Arabidopsis thaliana: one gene and its partners. The protein of the gene in region 1 interacts with the protein of each later gene in a pairwise test. Each region holds a gene or a part of one and is shown on either strand. Other genes may lie near its edges.

The links.
Region 2: the proteins of EIF4A-III (region 1) and MAGO interact in a two-hybrid assay, tested with the Arabidopsis thaliana proteins (one study listed by BioGRID).
Region 3: the proteins of EIF4A-III (region 1) and Y14 interact in a two-hybrid assay, tested with the Arabidopsis thaliana proteins (one study listed by BioGRID).

Annotation. Positions count from the first base shown.
Region 1 is NC_003074.8:6,861,708-6,865,462, forward strand, and holds the start of EIF4A-III (eukaryotic initiation factor 4A-III), read left to right. Parts: upstream 1-1,953; 5' UTR 1,954-2,082; coding exon 2,083-2,390; intron 2,391-2,702; coding exon 2,703-3,024; intron 3,025-3,279; coding exon 3,280-3,387; intron 3,388-3,491; coding exon 3,492-3,611; intron 3,612-3,755. Other genes in the region: AT3G19740 (P-loop containing nucleoside triphosphate hydrolases superfamily protein), read right to left, coding at 1-148, 242-336, 456-580, 670-1,223.
Region 2 is NC_003070.9:402,474-405,996, forward strand, and holds MAGO (mago nashi family protein), read right to left. Parts: upstream 1,984-3,523; 5' UTR 1,929-1,983; coding exon 1,713-1,928; intron 1,475-1,712; coding exon 1,298-1,474; intron 1,054-1,297; coding exon 994-1,053; 3' UTR 627-993; downstream 1-626. Other genes in the region: ALG12 (homolog of asparagine-linked glycosylation 12), read left to right, coding at 2,154-2,196, 2,284-2,369, 2,439-2,480, 2,592-2,637, 2,757-2,843, 2,957-3,012, 3,175-3,292, 3,420-3,478. UniProt on the Arabidopsis thaliana protein: Core component of the splicing-dependent multiprotein exon junction complex (EJC) deposited at splice junctions on mRNAs.
Region 3 is NC_003070.9:19,103,191-19,106,945, forward strand, and holds the start of Y14 (RNA-binding (RRM/RBD/RNP motifs) family protein), read right to left. Parts: upstream 1,744-3,755; 5' UTR 1,564-1,743; coding exon 1,293-1,563; intron 980-1,292; coding exon 843-979; intron 334-842; coding exon 179-333; intron 1-178. Other genes in the region: AT1G51520 (RNA-binding (RRM/RBD/RNP motifs) family protein), read left to right, coding at 3,599-3,755. UniProt on the Arabidopsis thaliana protein: Core component of the splicing-dependent multiprotein exon junction complex (EJC) deposited at splice junctions on mRNAs.

The DNA of each region.
Region 1 (3,755 bases):
CACTCCCATCTGCTTTCGCTTCAGAATCCTCTTCGCTCTGAGCACTAGAATCTTCCTCAGCATCAGACTCTGTCGTGGATTCATCTGCTTCCGCTTCTGCGTTCTCACCATCAGATTCAGATTCTTCATTGTAGTCATCAGCAAAATCCTGATCCAGAATTAAAAAATATTACATAAACACCAAAAAGAACGAAAGAAAAATGGTGGCATGTTATAGGCAAATTACTCATAAGAATCTCACATATGGGGCAAGAACGCTGCTGTCAAGAACCAACAGGGGAACTTGTACATCTCGAGCAAGTGCTCGTACCAACCTCTCCCGGTAAAGCTCAGTACCTGAATAAAATTCAAATTTCTTATTGGTCATCTAACATTTCCTCAATATTTTTACTTGATAACAGAAGAGCAACATCAAATCCTGGTCTGCCATTTTTATTCTATAGTCAATAACAAACCTGGAACACTCTGGAGCAATATTCTTCCACTTGAAGAATCTAAACGGGCACCATATATGGAAGCGGCATTCTTTTGTCTTATATGTGAGGTAACACATTCCACCAAAATATCTTTCGTGTGGTCGCTGTGAAAAGATAATGAGCAGAATCCATAAGCAGAAATGGAGAAAGAAACACAACAAGCGAGAAAAAAAAACATGTTGTAGATTATTACTGGATGTAGTAAGGGAAGGTCTCCCAAGAAAGCTGTATTTTTTCCCAAGGTTGGATTCTCCGTAAGAACTCGTTTTTGAATCTTTCTCGTCTATTAACGAAAGGTGACTCCTTCTTTTTGCATTCACTAGCAAGCTTCTCATTATTGAGCCATTCTATTTGGTCTTGTTCTCCAAGTTGAGCATGAGAATCCAAATGCCCAACACCGTTATTACTTTTCTCCTTCCCGGTTTTTCCATCATCTACACCATTCTCTTTGTTCAAAGAGATATGTTTATCCTCACTAGCATTCCTTCCATCACCCTCAGAACTAAAACTACGCAACTGGCTATTCTTCAAAATACTTAAATGATTTCCCGAGGCAATAGTACCACCGCGGGGAGAAAATGAACCAAGTAGAGACTTTCTTGTCAAATTTTCACTATTGGTTAATTTATTTGTGAATCCACAATATCTGGAAACCGTATAGTCACGAACGACTGGCCTAACTAAGTACTTGGCTTGCTGCAATACCAAACCCCATCTCTGGTTCCTCTTTAATGCCCTTGTATACATCACAAAGTCCCTTCTCTTCCAATATAACTACAAAAAAAAAAACAGAGATCATTGATTTAGAATCACTTTCAGGGTCCATTTCTTGTACTATCCAACCTAAATGCATTGCAACATGTAATTGCACCATTAAAAAAAAAAAAAAACGAGATCAATATCAACGCAAAACATACTATAGTAACTCGGAAAGAAACATAGATTCTATACAATTTATTTCGACTAGAGGAATAACAACACACTTCAGGGAATTAATTGATTAAGAACAGACATCAATTAAAATGAACGATTATGACGCATAACGGAAAATCCAATGTAACAACGAATATGAGGCATCGATATAGAAATGATGATATATTCAGCTTTTGTCATCCATAACTATTACAAAACACGAACCGTTTAACAGAGATGGACAACAAAACTGGTTCTATTCATCCCCCAAGCTCTAAGAATCAGGCTTGGTGCAAAGAGGAGATGTAATTAGGAACGAGATAGGGTGAAGAAGAGAGAGAAAATCCCGACAGAGGAGAGAGAGATAAAGACCGATCTAAAGTCTGTAGGTTCTTCTTCTGAAGCTGAAGCTGGGTTCGAAGTTCAGCTTCGTTGATGCAGTGTTGTCGTTTTGACGCAAAATTGCTACTTGCCTTCCTATGGATATGGGCCTAACTATAAAGGCCCACTAAACATATAAGAGTCGGTATTTTCCTGACAAAAAAGCCCTAACAAGTTGTCGGATTTACAATCGTACCCCTATTTTTAAGCCGCGCTTATCTCGAACCTATACCTGTAGAGAGGAAATAAGCATTTGGGGGAAATCAATCGAAAACCCTAGGAGAGATAAAAACAAAAATCTAGACGGAGATTTATGGCGACAGCGAATCCTGGCCGTGGAGGTGGTAGAAGAGGCGGTGGAGCTATGGATGACGATAAGTTGGTCTTCGAGACTACCGATGGAATTGAGCCCATCACGAGCTTCAATGATATGGGCATTAAGGAAGATGTGCTTCGCGGTGTCTACGAATATGGATTCGAGAAGCCTTCCGCGATTCAGCAGAGGGCTGTTATGCCGATTCTTCAAGGACGTGATGTTATTGCTCAAGCTCAGTCCGGTACCGGGAAGACATCTATGATTGCTCTCTCCGTTTGTCAAGTCGTTGATACTTCTTCTAGAGAGTATGTTTTCTGTTCCTTTAGCTGGATTAAACCCTTCATTTCAATTTTGAACTTTACTTGCTTTGCTCGGATTGTTCTCTAACCTAAATCATTAGGTTTTGTTTCTTATCGATTTCACAAATTTGGTGGGATTTGTTTGTCTGACTTGTAGAATAGATGAACGAATTATGATTCATTAATGTTCAATCAAAATGACAATGAAAATTTGTGATAGTTATTAGCTTTTCGGTTAGAGTGATTGAGTAATACTTTCTTTTAGGCTGCAAGATCTTTTTATATGTGTACTCATGTATTTGGTATCTCGGACTGCAGGGTTCAGGCCTTGATATTATCCCCAACAAGAGAGCTGGCTACACAAACAGAGAAGACGATACAAGCTATTGGATTACATGCCAATATTCAGGCACATGCTTGCATCGGTGGGAATAGTGTTGGAGAAGACATCAGGAAGCTGGAGCATGGTGTTCATGTTGTGTCTGGGACACCTGGTCGTGTCTGTGACATGATAAAGAGGAGAAGTCTTCGTACCAGAGCTATTAAACTTCTGATTCTTGATGAATCAGATGAAATGCTGAGCAGAGGGTTCAAGGACCAGATCTATGATGTTTACAGATATCTTCCACCAGATCTTCAGGTGCAATTTCACTGCTCAATATTATGTGTTGGCTAACTTCTAGTTTCTTTGGATGTTATTGCATTAGCTTTCTTATTTTATGGATTGGCTTCTTGAACTCTATGTGGATTGAGAGAATTATAAGTTGTTAAAAACCTTTTAGCCACTGTTAAGTTGCTTGAATGTCTTATGTGTAGATTTGGTAGCTATTATCTGTATTATGAACAGCTAAATTCCACTCTATAATAGTTCAATCCTAATACGTTTTTTTTGTAGGTTTGCTTGGTTTCTGCAACTCTTCCTCACGAGATTTTGGAGATGACATCCAAGTTTATGACAGAACCAGTGAAGATACTTGTGAAGCGTGATGAGTTGACTCTTGAAGTATGTTTCTTCTTATGCTTCTGTATGCTCGTTCATGTTTACTTTTACAGTAGGTTGACACTCATATTCTTCATTGGCTATCTTTTTGTGTACAATCTTTTCAGGGAATCAAACAATTTTTTGTTGCTGTTGAGAAGGAAGAGTGGAAATTTGATACACTCTGTGATCTTTATGACACGCTTACTATCACTCAAGCTGTTATCTTCTGCAATACTAAACGAAAGGTAATTGTGGTTCTCATGCAACTGTATCTCAAACTTGTTAACATTAAGCTTCTAGCACTGCTATCTGAACTTGATTTGCAATCTTGTAATTGCTCAAAAATTCATACTATCTTGTGAATATATGTATTTCTTTATTTCTAAAAG
Region 2 (3,523 bases), on another chromosome or scaffold:
TAGGAATCCCGCATTGTGAGCCACTTATCATCCATCACCTTGAACGCAATGCAATATCGAATATCAAATGCGGACTCGTTTTCTAACAATAAATTATACACCATCCAATTGTCAATATATATGGCTTCGCGTTTATCTCTCTTAACCCAAAGCTGCTGTAACTAACTAACTAACCAGCTACTAATGTTTCCCCGACCATCTTAAAAGGTAACTAACTAACTAGCTGATGCTAGTTGGTGCCTGAGCAGGGGTGAGATCAAAGGAATAACGAGAGTGGTGATCCCTTTTCTGTGCACAAACACAAGCCAGTCCCCGCCCTAACCATGCACCTGATCCTGCCACAAGATGAAATATGCATGTGACTCTCTGCAACACACTACAACAAGGTAAAGGAGACTAGTGCGTGCTTAACCTGAGGATGAATGGCAGGTGCGTCCTCTGTCTAGGCTGTGAGTAATCCGCCTGACACTGACAAATGAATCCTCCATTGTTCTTCCCGATTCATAAAAAGCTACTCTTGATATCTTCAATGCAAAACCAGATTTACGGGTTTTGGAGGAGCAGTTTGAATGGTCCGAGGGCGTTTTTTTAGAATGGAAACAATCCTAATTATCGACTAATCCAGCTAGTTTTTGATACTTTGTATTTTAGATAGATCACATTCCTTAGTTTAAATTGGCTTGAGGGAAAAGAAACATGCATCATATGTAGATGTACATTAGGGAGAGTGAATGATTTGTGATAAGAAAACAGCAAGTATATGGTTTTTAGAAGATAGGTTGTGGTTCATGAAAGGTTCTTCACATGGGATGTTGACACAAAAAAGGACCAAAAGTTGAGGTAGAACATCTTACATACCCACTTTCACCCAAATCCAACAAAAAAAAAAAACAGAGAACCAGAGACATAAAAACAACCAAACTTCAGTCACAAAGTCCTCATGTTCCCAACAAATTCATCGCGTCTTGACATGTCACAAACTGATTTTCTTCTCTAGATAGGCTTGATTTTGAAGTGCAGAGAGATGAGCGAAAAAACAAGACATTTCAAGTCCTGCAACCATGAAAGTTTCAAAAGGAATATGTTAGAGCACAAATAAATACAGAAACTAAAAAAAAAAAAACTACAGAACCATGTAAGGGATGAGTGTTAACAGCCAAACCCTAAATGTTAAAGTTTGAGACAGTGAATACGTTAAAAGGCAGAGTCCTAAATATATAATCGAGTCCAATAGAGTTAAGGGATTAGGTAAAAGAAAAGATGGTAAGGCAAGGGGTGGAAGAAAAAGAGAGGAGACCTGAACAAGATAGTAGAAGATGCGAAGTCCTTCAGGATCATTACTGCTCTGGCAATCAACAAGAGATCCAATCTTAGATGTAGCGAATGAGATATGCTCATTACCCAAGACGATCTCGAGCTCTTGCTTTCCAACACGGTCAGGTTCCGGCCAATTGTTATCGTCTTCTTTCAGAATCTACCCGCAGACAAATAATCACATGTCAGGTTGTACAAAATCATCCATTATTCCTAGATAATAGCATTAACAACGAAGAGGGTTCTAAACCTACAACACTAGTCAGGAAAGATGCCCTAGATCGACAAAAATCGAAGCAAAATCACTAAAACCCTAATTGGCTATTATAGCGTCGATTGACCAAAACGCGGACAATTAACAAGAGAGAAGCAAATCGGAAGAGAGAGAGAAAAAGGACCTCGCTCTCGGAGACGATACGCTTGCATTCCTTGAGCACGGCGGGGGTGAGAAATACCTCCTTGCGGATAATAGTATCGTTCTTGTAGTTAGAGTTATTGGCGTAACGGAGCTTACCGTCCTCTCTAAACTCGAACTCCAGGAACTCGTGTCCAAATTTCCCTTTGTGACCGACATAGTATCTCAGGTAGAACTCCGTCGCTTCTTCCGCGGCCATGCCTTCTCTTTTTTTCTTTCTTTCTCGAGATCGAGATTACCTCTCCGTGTCCTTTGCCCTTCTTTAAGTCCGTCCCCGCAAAAGAAAAAAGGTAATGGGCTTACATATTGGGCCAGAACCCATTTGTAACCCGAAAAGTTAAGGCCCAGTTTTAGTTTTTCTGTTTCCATCGAAATTGTGTGTGTATCCGGGCTGCCTGATTTCCGATTCCCCGATACAGAGACGATGCCGACGGATTCGAAAATGGCCAAGTTTCTTCAATCCTATGGTAATTTCTTCGTTTCGTCTTCTTAGGCGGCCAGATGATCTCTTTTTCTTTTTTTATATAACTGAAACTTTCGATTGGTGGGAGCAGGATATGATTTGATTCTGGGATCTGTAGCTGCAATCTATGTGGTCATGGCACCATATACTAAGGTGGAAGAGAGCTTCAACGTTCAGGTAGGTTTTCAAAGTATTTAGAGTCACACTCTTTCTCCGTTTTACTGAAACCGTTTCACTCGTCTCAAGTCAATGCACGACATTCTTTACCATCGCCATCATTTGGACTCTGTGAGTGACCTCTCTTTTTACTTCTTCTCTGAAGCTTTACTCTTTTTTTTTTTATCTCTAGAGTGATGTCAATTTTTACCGACTTCTGTCTTTTTATTTTTTTCCTATCAGTATGATCATTTGGAGTTCCCCGGTGTTGTCCCTCGAACTTTTATTGGTAAGGAGGGCTGTTGAATTTCGCTCTCTGTTTTTGCATCACCTGTTGATGGTTTTTTTTTTATCATTATACATTAGTGGATGGTTTTTTTTTTATTCCACTCTGATTTGTTCTTGCAGGAGCCTTCATAGTCTCTGTTTTTGCATCACCTGTTGTATCAATTATCAGCTGCCTTGGCTTCCCCAAGGTTTATAGCCTTGTTGCAGGTTTCTCTTCTGTTTCTCCCTCCCTATATAATTCCTTAATGAATCGCTAACTATTTTCCCCTAAACACAGACAAAACCAATTCACATCATAGTTTTATCATTTTGTCTTGCAGCTCGTTTGGTGTTGGGCTGCATCATATTGTCCACACTAAGATTTTTCCGGATTCAGGTATGAAGTTCCTTTAGTGCTTCTTTCCATACCACACTTCTGACTCCCCTATCTGATTCTTTGTCCCTTCCCATGTCCTTGGAATTGGGATCTCTTACATGCATCTTGTTGGCTGTTTTTCTCCTATATACTGCCACTGACCAAAATCTACTGGTTTGTCAGATAAAAAAAAAGTTTGGAAATCAAGTGGAAACTTTCTTTGTACTTTTCACCAGTCTTCAGTTTCATTTTCTTTTCTACTGCACTCGTCCTCTTCCTAATATTCTAGCTTTGGGATTAGGTAATTACTTCTATTCATCTTACTCTACTAGTAGTGGTCCTTCAGATGTCCTAGCAATCTTTCCCATGACCCATCTAGCGTAGGCCTTACTAGGTTCTGCTTATGTTTTTAAATTTTGATTTTGCAGTCAATCTGGCATATGGTAATTGGTTAAAGGGAAATTTTTATCCAGCTTTGAGTTTCCTGGTATGTATTATCTTTGTGGTGACATATTTTCTCGATTATAGATTT
Region 3 (3,755 bases), on another chromosome or scaffold:
CGATTCATTAGCATAAAGACAGTAAAGTTTGGTAGGTGCTTAGTACAATATACTACCTTGTCAACTGTTAAAACTTCTAAGTCTATATCTTAATTGATACTTTTTGACACTCTTGACTTCATATCGGCACAAGATCAGACAAGTCGTAGCGGAACAGAAAAGAGATTAGGATACAAACCTCGAGTTCTTTCTCCTGTAAGATTCACCACCACTGGGACCGCTGCTGAAGGCCCAGTCAACGCTAACATTCTGTGTTAGAAGCTCAGCACCATTCATTGCTGAAATAGCGCTCTGTGCTTCTTCCTTCTTCTCATATTCTATCAAAGCATATCCCTTATCAAAAAAAACAAAAGCAAAGTGTTACTTCCACTTCCATGAGAACTCAAGCAAACTAAAGAAAAATAATATTTGATTCCTAAACTCGCATCTAGAAGACAGCTTATCTTATTCGACCCGTCATTTCTGACACTTTGAAGTAACTTAAACGAAGTGTCCTTAGGGAACAGCATTGCACTTTACAGAATATTACATCTCCCTCTTAAAAGCAATGTAACATTGCAAAGATAAATTTATCATTTTTGGCTCTCAATTTCAGATATTCAGTATTACATTGATTAACACAAAGCATGTCAAAGAGTAAAGTCAACATCTACGACAAAACAGTATTGCATTCATCTCTAAATTACATCATGACAACAATCCAACAAATCAAGCTTCACTATAACAAACCAAAAGGCAAAATGATATCAACATAACTAAGCAAAAAAATTAGCTTCACAATAACTAACCAAAAGGCATAATGACATCAAGAGCCACTAAGAAACAAAGGCAAAACTCCATACCTTGACATAACCACTACGGCGATCGAGATTGAGATTTAGATTCTTAATCTCCCCAAAATCACCAAAAGCATTGGTTATATCCTCCTCCTGTGTCTCCTCATGAACTCCAGAGACCAAGATAATCCATCCTTCAACGGCTACACATAAACACACACAACAAACAAATTCATCCAAAACAGTCCCAATTCTTCATTACCCTCAAAGAAACTATGTTCTATCTTCACAGACTCTAGAACCATTACATTTTTTATAATGGTTACAAACTAAATCTAAACCAATCTAATTTTTTTCAAAAAACTTCTAGGTCAAATTGAATCCCAAACACAAGGGGTTATGAGAAACCCTAGAACAAATTACTACCACAAATAAATCAACAACGCGAAGAATCAGTATGCCAACACTAAAACCTAACTAAAAACAGCGAAAGAGGAAGAGATTTAGTGAAATTACATCTCTGCGGACCAGGACGGCCATCTGAACCAAGTGATTCGAAATCGCGTGAGGAAAGACGACGCTGACGATCGGAATCTTTCTCCTCGCGAAACCCACGGCCTTTGGTCTTCTTTGCTGATTCGCCATTAGCTCCGGCAATAGCCGACTTAAGCCTCGGATGTCCCGCGCGTGGAGAAACATCAGCTCCGTCAATAGCTGTACCTTCTTCGTCCATAAGGTCATCCTCCTCTGGCTCGAAATCGACTGCTTCTGATTCTATGTTCGCCATGACTTCCGCCGCCGTAAGATTTCCGATAGATCTCTTCCCGTTTCGCCGACTGATTTTTTGTTTCCTTTGTTTTTGGGGACGGAGCTCTTTCTTCTATCAAGATATTTCTCTGCCAGTGTTGTTTATAGGAATATATTGGACCTTAAGTGGGCTTATTTTGGGCTTTTACGCTTGTATTTCTTTCTCACGCTAGTTTTTCCTTTTCCCTTTTAAACAGGCTTTGATTAAACTCCTCTCGTCAATGTTAGTGGGCTTATTTTGGGCTCTTACTTTTTTTATTTATTCTTTCACGCTTCAGAGTAAGCTAAGCCTTTGATTTTTTAGGTTTCTTACAAAACAGGCTTAAGCCTTTGATGAAAACTTCTCTTGTTAATGTTACATTATCTGAATTTCATATGTCGAGAGTGAATCATGGCATACCTTTTTAAGCATTCATGATGTCAAATTATTGTATCACTTCATAATTAGGATACTATCAATCATATTGTGGTATTTAACACTTTACAGTCGATACTGGTCCATCTCTTTGATGGTGATCATCATTGTTTTATCCGTTTGCATACAATCATTATAGTCGAATATTGCTTTCTAATTCCCACTCTAATCTCAAATAAATCTCGTCCAACATGTTCGACCAAATTCTAAGAAAGAAAACATAGAGAGATGCAAAGCATTTAAAGAAAACAAATCTTAGTTCGTCGCCAATAATTACTTACGTCATTTAGAGGAGGGGAGAGCATTAATTTGGAAAACATTTATTGTCTGGTTCTGTTGACTAAAGTAGTACAAAACTCTGGTCAATTTACGACAACTATTTAACAACACACGTGTCCTTAAAGAAGCTATATCGACCGTTGATATAATATCTAAAGATAATCTTAACGGGTAGGATTTGGAAATGAAGTAACCGAAGACCGTACACTCGTTACAGTGTTGAGGAAAAATTAATGTCATGCGCGAGTTTTGGTGTGACGGGGAAAAGAACAGCTGCCTGACAAAATTTTGTTTTATGGGATGGGATAGGGTAATTGTTGTCGATGAGCCCTATACTAAAAATAGTAGACTTCACAGTTCAAGTGACCGTTTGTCTTTAGCTGGCCCGGTCATGAGAGTTAAGGGCAAAAAATATTTTACGGGCAGGTCCTAATATTTATAGAGTATACTTTTTCTTTACGGGCAGGTCCTAAGATTTATATAATCTATACATCACAATGCTAGTTTTCACTTAGCTATGTTCAGGGATAAGCCTGGCCCTTATTCATTTGGTTTTGTTTTTTGATAGAGTTTTTGACCTCATTTTTCCCCTTTTACTTGCAGGTTGTAACGCCAAAGAGTTTGGGAGAAAAAAAAAATTAAATCCACCAAACAGTTGTAATTATCAATTTTGTTGGAACCAAGTGATTCCCATTACTATAGGTGAAGAAACTAAAATCTTTATTAGTATAGAGTATAGAAAGTGGCAGACCAAGAATTTCTTTTTTTTTTTGGGGTCAAATAATTTAGTTAACTAAAAAATTACTTTATATAAATTATTTTAACTAAATAATTTAATTATCTCCAATAATCTTTTACTGCAAATATAAATTGTTCTTCTAACAAATCAATCTAATAAACAAAAAAACAAAAACGAAAACAATGTATTGAAAAAGCTACTTTATCCATGAAAAAGGGAATACATAGTGTTGATACCTACTAAAATCTGTTACTACAATCTTTTTAAAATCTGTTAATGCTCTTAATTTGCCAAAATAATCAGGTCAATATATATGATTTCTTTCCATTCTAATCTCGCTCTTTACGAAACTTGAATATCCCTAAAAATCGATAACAGTTTCAAAGAACAATAAAAACAAAAAAGGTTCGATTTTTAAAAAAAATTGTTTTTTTTGCTAAATGCTTTTTACAAAGACAAAATCATACAAAATTCTAAAAGAAACATACATTTATGATTTAACGCAAACCCAAAAAGAGCCTTCACCTTTTTTCTCTTCGTCTTCTTCACCATCTTGTGGGGAAAAACAAAACTTCTCCGGCCATGGATCCTGGCGACCCAACTTCAATAATCTTTTCAAAGATCAGAACTTTCGAACTTGAGAACGCTTCCAGAGTCATTGACTATTTTCTCTTGCAAGACATGGAACAAAGAGATTTGATTCGAATTGCTTTTGGTCCTGACTCTCTCATACAGACTT